Linked DNA regions of Rattus norvegicus. The protein of the gene in region 1 interacts with the protein of each later gene in a pairwise test. Links are inferred from orthologs where the notes say so. Each region holds a gene or a part of one and is shown in the gene's direction. Other genes may lie near its edges.

Region 1 (4,390 bases):
GGCTTCAGCTGCGACGGGGAAGGTGGGTCCTACAGGGAAGGGCGATGGAATGGACTGGGGGTGGGGCGCATGATGGCTCCTGGGTCGATTTCTTTCTCGCCGCAGGGCGGCAGTCACAGCAAACATTGCCACTCACAGCTCTGGGACTATACTTAAGCCCGGCCTAAAATGTTCTGACTCTTGAAACCAGGCAGTGCTGTCATGCGCCTTTCATCCCGACATTTAGGAGGCAGAAGCAGGCAGATCTCTGAGTTCGAAGCCAGCCTCGGTCTGTAGGGTGAGGCGTTCCGGTACAGTCAGGCTACACAGAGAAACCCTGTCTTGAAAAACAAACAACAACAAAAAAGTTCTGGCTCTTAAGCCCAAAGCCCTGGCTATCTTGGAACTCGTTCTGTAGACCACGCAGGTCTCGAACTCAGAGATTCTCCATCTACCTCTGCCTCCGGAGTGCTGGTATTAAAGGCAGTGCCAACTGTTTTAGGGCTTTTCCATACTGCATCCAGTTGTGCCTAGTGAAAACCCGGGAGGGGTTCGTTGAAGCCCTGCAGGACATCGGCGTGTGTCCCCCTTTGCAGATGCTTGCCTGACTACAAGGAGATCTCCTACTCTCAGGAGCCCCCTTGCCTGCCTCCACACACTGGTCTCCAGCATTGTGAGATGACTCGCTGCTTCTTGCAGGTGTCCTTAAGTTTGCCCGCCTGGTCAAGTCTTACGAAGCCCAGGATCCTGAGATTGCCAGCCTGTCAGGCAAGCTAAAGGCCTTGTTCCTGCCACCCATGACACTACCACCCCACGGGCCTGCTTCCGGAAGCAGTGTGGCTGCCTCCTGAGATTGATTCTTTTCTGTGTGCCGCTGCTATGAAGGAGGCCCTTGTGTTCCAGAGGATAATAAATGTGCTTGTGGCTAAACCTTTGTGTCAGTCATTCCTAGTCCTGATTACCCCCACTCGTTGCCGCCTCTGGCCTTTCCCCTCCTTTAGGCCCTTCCTGGGCTCTTTGCTGGACCAACCCTGTTCTCATGAGCCCTAGGGTGTGGGAGGCTAAATGGTCCTCTTGGCCCCCCGGGAGGTTTGCTCACAAAGGTGGTATCTCCTATGAGCAGTGGGCTTCAAGGCTTTTCTTTGGACTCTCCCCTGCTTTCCACTGTCTGAGAGGTACTCTTCTGAGGGCGGTCCCTTGGCTAGGGTTACTTCCTGGTCTTTGCTTCTGCCCGCCCTCCTCCTGCTCTTTCAGTTTGAGCTCCAGGTGGAACAGCAGGTTGCTCCTCCCCTTCCAAGAGAAGTAGGCCCGGGCAGGCCAGAAGCCTGCTGGACTCCGGCAGTCCTCTGGAGAATTTGGCTGTGGTGGGCGGTCTCTGGCCAGCCCCGCCCCACCCGTCCTTCCCTCAGAGACCTGTAATCCAGGGGCTTGGCCTCAAAGTGCCATTGGTTTGACAGGCTGGATGAGGAGGAAGTGGCCGAAACCGAAATATTCTTCCTGAAGGTCTGGATCCCCGAACAGCTGTGCCACTCGATTGGCCCCGCCCCTGTCGCCCTTTGCCTGTGACTTCCCCCACTCCTCCAGGGAGATGCTGTCCCGCGGGTAAGTCCCCTCCACCACCTGTGTTCCACAAACTCCTGTTAGTCTAGGTGATGGGCATTGTTCACACCCTCAACAAGTAAACCTCCATAATAGTCTACCGCCACCAATACCCCTGCCCTGAGGCTGGATCCTGTCCCTGTGAACTCTCTCTCCTTACCACAAGCTGAGCCAGCCCCAAATGGGTATCTTTTCTTATTTTTAACCACTGGCCTGTGGTCCTCTGCTTCTGCCTCCTATCTATCTGTTCCCCTCTTGGGTAGTTCACATCACCTCAGACATGACAGTCTGAAGGCACATTTGAGAAAGCTCTTCCATTCCTAGGCACCGCCCTCCCCCGCCCCCCACACCTACATACACCTTGGTTCTCTCCCTTTTCCCCAAAGGAAGCAAACTTTGATAGATGAATGGTGAACCAACACAGTGGGCAGGTACTGAGTAAGATGTTGTTAACATGAGCTTGTATGAGGCAGACATGATCTCCGTTTAGAGAGCTGGCATTCCAAGCAGAGACGACAGAATGAATACATAGGCAATAACTAGGACTATTTCAGATGGCCAGAGCATTAACTGACACGCAGGAGAAGAAGCGGCTTAAGGTGCTAGCAGTGATGGAGACATCACTGGCTGACAGGGAGGCCTTCCAGATGAGGTGGTGTTTGAGCTGAGATCTGGCGACTCAACAGAGGCAGCCATATTGTTACCAGCTGTCCCGAACCATCCCAGGCAGAAATAATAAGTGCGAGGCCTCAGTTTGGGGACAAATGGAGAAAGGATAGTGTGTTGTCCCCAGAAGGAAGCCATGGGCACCTTGGACTTCAGTGGGGTTTGGAGAGTGAAAACGCACTCTGAGGGTGCTGGTGACTTTGTGGGCTGTTTTACAGGGGCCCTGTGGAGTTTTGCTTTCCATACTCAGGTGAATCTTTCTGTGTACACTCTTCCTCCGGTGTATACCTAGTCTCTGCCATCCTGAGGGGTTGTACCGAGACTCCCCATCTGGCTTGACAAGGCATCTCCCAGTATAGAACCTTTCTTGGTTCTTCAACCTGGACTTGCAAGACCTCTGCTTTGGGTGGCGGTCCAGCCCCTTGCGTACTTTAGTTCAGCTGTCTTGATCTGCTCACACTGAGCAACCCAAGAGCATGTTTTCCATGCCAACCCTGTGTTCTGGTCCATCTGCCTGTGGGGGTGGGGGGGGTTTGACCATCTCCCAGCATGCTTTGCAGTGCCAGGCATCCCCTTAAAGCCTGCTGGTCCAGCGCTGTGGCAGGCGACAGACCACCGGCCCCAGACAGCTTTGGTTTCTTTCACCTTCCCACTCACTGGAACCTTGTGACTGTGGGCAAGTTACTTAACAAGTCTTAAGATTTCACTTTTGTTTCTAAAATGGGGAGAGTAACAAATAAACAGTATTGCCATGAAAATTAACAATGATACAGTTGTTTCAGCTAGGATAGTGGTATTGGACAACCCAAGAGAAGCTGAGGTAGGAGGATCTTGAGTTTGAGGCCAGCCTGGCCACATACAGCAAGGCCCTGTCTAAATAAATAATAAAAACAAAGGTTAGAGTTATTGCCTAGCGGGCATAAAACCCGGAGTTGACCGGGCAGTGGTGGCACACATCTGTAATCCCAGAACTTAGGAGGCAGAGGCAGGCAGATCTCTAAGTTTGAGGCTAGCCTGATCTACAGAATGAGTTTCAAGACAGCTGAGGTCACAGAGAAAGGAAACAGTCATCTGCCAGTGTCTGTGGGAGATTGATTCCAGAGGGACCGGAAGGTACCAAACTATGCAAATGTATTTGCCTGTAGCATCCAGCTGAACTACTGCAGACTTTATCATCTCTGAGTACCTGATACAATGTAAATGCTATGCAAATCGTTATATTGTATTATTGAGGAAACTGTGGAGGGAAAAGGGTCTGCGTCTGTCCAGTGGAAGCATACTGTCTGTCTATAGCTGACTGAAACTGCAGATGCAAAATCAGAAGAGAGAATCCACGGTAAAATGTGCTGATGACAGGAGACCTTGCCACTTAGCAGTTATGTAGGTGAGGAGGTCCTCCTGAGGGCAGGCGTCTCGTTTGACCTTCTGTCCCGGGCTTCGGCCTCCCGAATACTGGGGTTAGAGGCATGAGCCACCACACCTGGTTGCTTTATTAGCCTTTTAGGGTCGAGTTTAGGAAATCTTGTGAAGTTCACATATCAGGTGGAAATCAGAGAAGTCTAATAACCGTGTAATGGTTGTATTTTGTCCTCGGCAGGCCCCTAGGGCCACTGATCTTGACGTATTCCCTTATCCCTTGCTTCCCAAAGGAATCTCGTCCTCTTCTAGATACCAGGCATTTGTATTTAGGTCTGGCAGCCTCCTCGAGTCTGCTTAAAACAAAGTCCCAACCTCATAGGTAGTCAAAGGCCACCTTTGTGGTCATTACATATATTGTTCTTTTTTTCTGGAGCTGAGGACCGAACCCAGGGCCTTGCCCTTTCTTGGCAAGCGCTCTACCACTGACATATATTGTTCTAATGCTCGGCCAACTCCAGGGCCCTGCGCCTTGCTTCTTGGAAGATTGTCATTATTTTCCTGCCAGAGGACAGGATGGGACATCAAGGGTCAGTAGTAAGTGCCTCGTGAGCGCCTTCCCACCAAGTGGGTTTAATTCTGGAGTGAGAGTCTTAGTTCTGGTGTAGTCAGTATGTTACTAAGCAGTGTGGAACTTCCTGTGTGCCTGTGGTGTTGGGGATCTGTCCCTGCAAGAGATGGGTATGGGTGGACACAGATGGTGGGGTGCGTGTGAGTTGTGCTTCTACAC
Region 2 (4,504 bases), on another chromosome or scaffold:
ATTTACTAATATTGACTATAGGTGCTATGTTGTCTTAGAATTACTTATATTAATTGACCAAAAGTTTTTGCCTCTTGATAAATAACTTCCCAATGTTTTCCCTTCTGGTAGATAACATTCCAAATTTTGCTTTTATGAATTTGACTTGGACTATTTAATTTTTGAGACAAAAAACCTTGCTATATAGCGCTGGTTGGCTCAGAACTCATTATGTAGTGCAGACTGGCCTTGTACTCATGGCAATCCTCCTACTTCACCCTCCCAAGTGTAGGGATTACAGGAATGGAACAGCATGCCCAGCTTGAATATGGCTAATTTACATACTTTCAATGAGAAGAACAACTCATCACCCATTCTTCTTGGTCTTGTTTATTTCACCTATATCCATTTCTTGAATGTTCAGCCATGGATTTTCACATGGCATCATCACCATCTTCATTACACTGTCTATGTACACCATACTTTCTTCAACTACTTTCAGAATGATTTTTCCTAGCAACAGATCTTGGGAATAGAGTTGCAATGATTACATGAGTGCTGACATCTTTCTTTCATACTTGTTTTCCCCTTTACCAGGGTTCTATTTTTAATTTCTTTGTATGCATGTGTGTGTGTGTGTGTGTGTGTGTGTGTGTGTGTGTGTGTGTGTGTCTGAAATCATAATGCTATTTCCAAAGAGAAAGAGCAATATTTCCTGTGATTTCTACTTTTTTCCCCTCTAGCGGCACGGAGGGAGGGTGTCTGCTTACCTAAAATGATCCTGACTCATTAACTCAGAGGCAACATTCCTCAGAATATTCAAGAGCCCATGTTCTTATAACGGGAAGAGAAAGATCAATTTGTGCACACTTCTGACAATATTTATTAGTTTTGAAAAATATTACCTTTGTCAGTGAGATGGTTCAGTGGGTACAGATGCTTACTTCTGAGTCTGACTACCTGAAGTTGATTCCTAGGACCTTACATTGTGAAGGAGACAAATGACTTTGGCAAGTTGTCCTCAGACAGACAGATACACACACACACACACACACACACACACACACACACACACACACACACACAGAGCCCAATATTATTTAACAGTAAAAACATTATCTTTAGCAGGACACATTTAATGTGTGAAATATCTGTTAAGATGTTTTACAAAAATCATAACATGAGCAGCTTTGGGTATTGAAATGTCTTGCATGAATTGGTTGCTTTTACTTTCTATGATGGGAACCTGATATGTACCATCTTATTCTTGAATATTTACAGAGAGGCAAACAAGTTGTGGAATGAGCTCAGCTGCATCTAAACTTAGGGGCCTGAAACATGTTTTAGAACCTGACACCTTCTTGTGAAGCCAGTGACTAACGGAAAGAGTAAAATGTCCAGAAGAGAAACCTCTTCCTCTTCATGTGAGGAACCTCATATTGAAACCCTGTGAAGAGATCCAGTGCACACATCCTGTTTCTTGTGCCTGCTGCAGGGCTTCTGCTCCAGCCAGACCTGGTAAGGTTGCTGGAGCCTGAGTCATGCCACTTCATTCTGTCATCGTGCTGGTGCTTGGTGAGTCCTGGGAAAAACTGAGGGATGGGAAAGGGAGTCTGTTCCTCACTCAGTCTCTCCACCCCCAATCTCCTACTTGGAAGATATCTCTGCAGACTTACTGTTAGTAACAGGGACGGGGCATGAAGTCCAGTTCATCTTTAAAAGTAGTTAGGAAGAGCCTGTTTAGAAGGGAAGATGAATGGGGAACATTTGTTTTTCTTGGTGTTGGAGGTTGAACTCAGGGCCTCATGTGTGCTAGGTAAGCATGCTATCACCTAATTGTATCCCCTACACCCCAACCCTCTTTATTTTTCACAATCACAAATGTTATGTAGTATTGATTATCCTTCTCAGAATTAAATTTTTTTAATTCTTTGAGAGTTTCTTACATTATTCATCCTTAACTCTTCCAGGATCTACCTCTCCTCCCTACTCTTAACTTTGTTCCATTTTTAAGCACTTTAAGACCAATTTGTGCTCATCTAATACTCTTTTTTTTCTGATCAAATACTCTTAAGTATGTGGTCTAGCACTAGAGCGAGGCTGACTCAATAGGGACTATACTTTATTTTATATTTGTGAGGCTTGGTCTCACTATGTAGCCCTGCTTGTCCTGGAACTCATTATATAGGCCAGGCTGGCTTCAAACACATAGTTCCACCTGCCTCTCCCTCCCATTCCTGGGATTAGATTTATGAGCCATTAAGATTAGCTTTATGGGCTACACTCTTAAATAAAACAAAGAGAACTGACTCTCCCTATTTCAGCAGTCAGCAATTCCCAATAGCTTTAAGGCTAAAGTAGGGAGTGTATGCCTAACTTCCTTCCAACTCTGGTATTTGGTCTTGTTTGACCTTGCATAGGTCTTGTGAATGCTCTCACAACTGCTCTGAATTAATGTATGCAGCTGACGTTTGTGTATTCCATGAAGCCATCTACTGCATCTGGCTCTAGCATTATTTCTATCTACTCTTCCTAAATGCTCCCCAAGTCTTATGAGGAGGAGATTATATTTAGTTTGTATGTTCCCTTTAAGGCCGAACATTTTGCAGCCTGTTTTTATCTACACCTTGGCCAGTTATAGGTCTTTGTTAATCTCCATAGGAGCTGCTGAAATGAGGGCTGGGGTGCATCAATCTATGGGCATAGTGATAAATAATTCTTTTATTAGATATGTTTAAATATTTTTGAGAATTTCATAGGTGCATGCAATGTGTTTTGATCACATTCACCTCCATTATTGCCTGTAACTCCATGTCCACTCCCTCCCTATCCCAATATTGTGTCATTTTTTAAAAAAATCCCATGAATATAATTTGTGCTATCCATCTACACAAGGGTGTATGACCATCTTCTGGAGCATGGTCAACCTACCACAGGCCATATCCTCCGAGAAAACTGACCCTCCCTTCCCCAGAAGCTATCATCTGTCAACAGCTTCTCAGATAGAGGTGAGGGCTTGTGAACCTCTATCCCCCAAACCCAGCCTTCATTTTACTTTTGGTTTTGAGACACAGTCTCTCTAATATGCTCAGATTGACCCTGAACTCACGTTGTAGCTCAAATAATACTTGAATGTCTACATCTGTGGCTTTGGGGATAATTTAGAGTTCTTAAAAAACAAGATACAAGATTATACTCTGATGTTAATGTGGAGGAGTGGAGGGTCAATGGCTGCATAATCACAGGAAGCTGGATGTCCCTACCTACATTTAGTCTTTCCTAGATTCTCATTTCCAAGCAAACTGTGGGAGATGTTTTTCTTACTGGAATTTCTCTTTCAGTACTGTGCCTGGGATGGAAAAGTAACACACAGGAGGGTGAGTTATGTATTCTGTTGCTTTTGTACCAATGGGTAGCTTTGGAGGGGATCACATGCATCTGGAATGTATGGAAAGAGACCCTCAAATATTCCCTGTAATCATAAACACTTCTAACTCTGTAAGCTTCATCTTTCTCTTTTTTTACCTGTCTTCCTTTGTTTTCTTGTTTATAATGTTTTTAACTGACAAATAACAATGATATACACCAATTGGAATGCAGCCTGCTGTTTTGATATGTATTTTATTTTATGCTATGAATAAATTGGGCTAAATTGAATGCAAATCACTTCTGACACTCATTGTTTTTAAGGTTGAGAATGTTACATATCTACCATTATTGGAATTTTGAAAGGAACAACCTGTCACTGTCTGCTTGGTAGATCTTTAGAAATGCATTTCTCCTGTCTAAATGGAATTTTGTACCTTTGACCAGCATCTTCTCTTTTTTCATCCACGCTCTCTTTAGTCCTCAGATAACTGGTCTACTATCATTATATCCATTTCTGAGATGAACACCTTATATTCCGTACATAAGGGAGATCCTATGATATTTGTCATTTTTTGATTGGCTTATTGTACTTAATCCCTCCAGATTTGTTCTGGTGGTCATTAACAGCAGCATTTCCCTTCTAAAGAATGTTCAGTGTTCTAACATGTTTGTGCACCGCATTTTCTTTATCTGTTTATCTACCCAAGTTACTTCTATACTTGGAGTTGTGCTGTAAAGAATGTGGGGTGAGATATATTTAGAACAGGCTGTCTGCAAAGACAGTTTAATTCAGTGTGACCAAGCCTGCTCCTGAGAGATTTCTCCCCACAATCCAGACCTCTCTTAGGATCCCTTTAGGAAGACTTTGACAGTCCCTACAGATAGAACATAAAAATTCACACTTGATCTCTCTTGTCCATGTTCCTATATGTATTATGTCACCATGTCCTTGATGCAGCCCCCCTCCAGTTAATTTTTAAGTCCATTAGATAGTTTAATTAATGTGTTTGTTTTGAGACAGATTCTCACTATGTGTTCCTGAATAGCCTGGAACTTGCTATGCAGACCAGGCTGGCAGTGCTTCTGCCTCCTGATTGTTTAGATTAAATGTATGTACCACCACAACTAGCCTTAACCCACTTGTTTGCATAAAGTT

The links.
Region 2: the proteins of Ptpn6 (region 1) and Lair1 interact in binary tests that used the Homo sapiens proteins (3 or more experiments, as listed by UniProt). The link is inferred for Rattus norvegicus from reciprocal best matches to the Homo sapiens genes PTPN6 and LAIR1.

What each region holds. Positions count from the first base shown.
Region 1 is NC_086022.1:159,234,081-159,238,470, reverse strand, and holds the start of Ptpn6 (tyrosine-protein phosphatase non-receptor type 6), read left to right. Parts: upstream 1-1,401; 5' UTR 1,402-1,567; coding exon 1,568-1,581; intron 1,582-4,390. Other genes in the region: Grcc10 (protein C10), read left to right, coding at 1-22, 679-830. UniProt on the Homo sapiens protein: Tyrosine phosphatase enzyme that plays important roles in controlling immune signaling pathways and fundamental physiological processes such as hematopoiesis.
Region 2 is NC_086019.1:79,228,422-79,232,925, forward strand, and holds the start of Lair1 (leukocyte-associated immunoglobulin-like receptor 1 precursor), read left to right. Parts: upstream 1-1,489; 5' UTR 1,490-1,520; coding exon 1,521-1,554; intron 1,555-3,320; coding exon 3,321-3,356; intron 3,357-4,504. UniProt on the Homo sapiens protein: Functions as an inhibitory receptor that plays a constitutive negative regulatory role on cytolytic function of natural killer (NK) cells, B-cells and T-cells.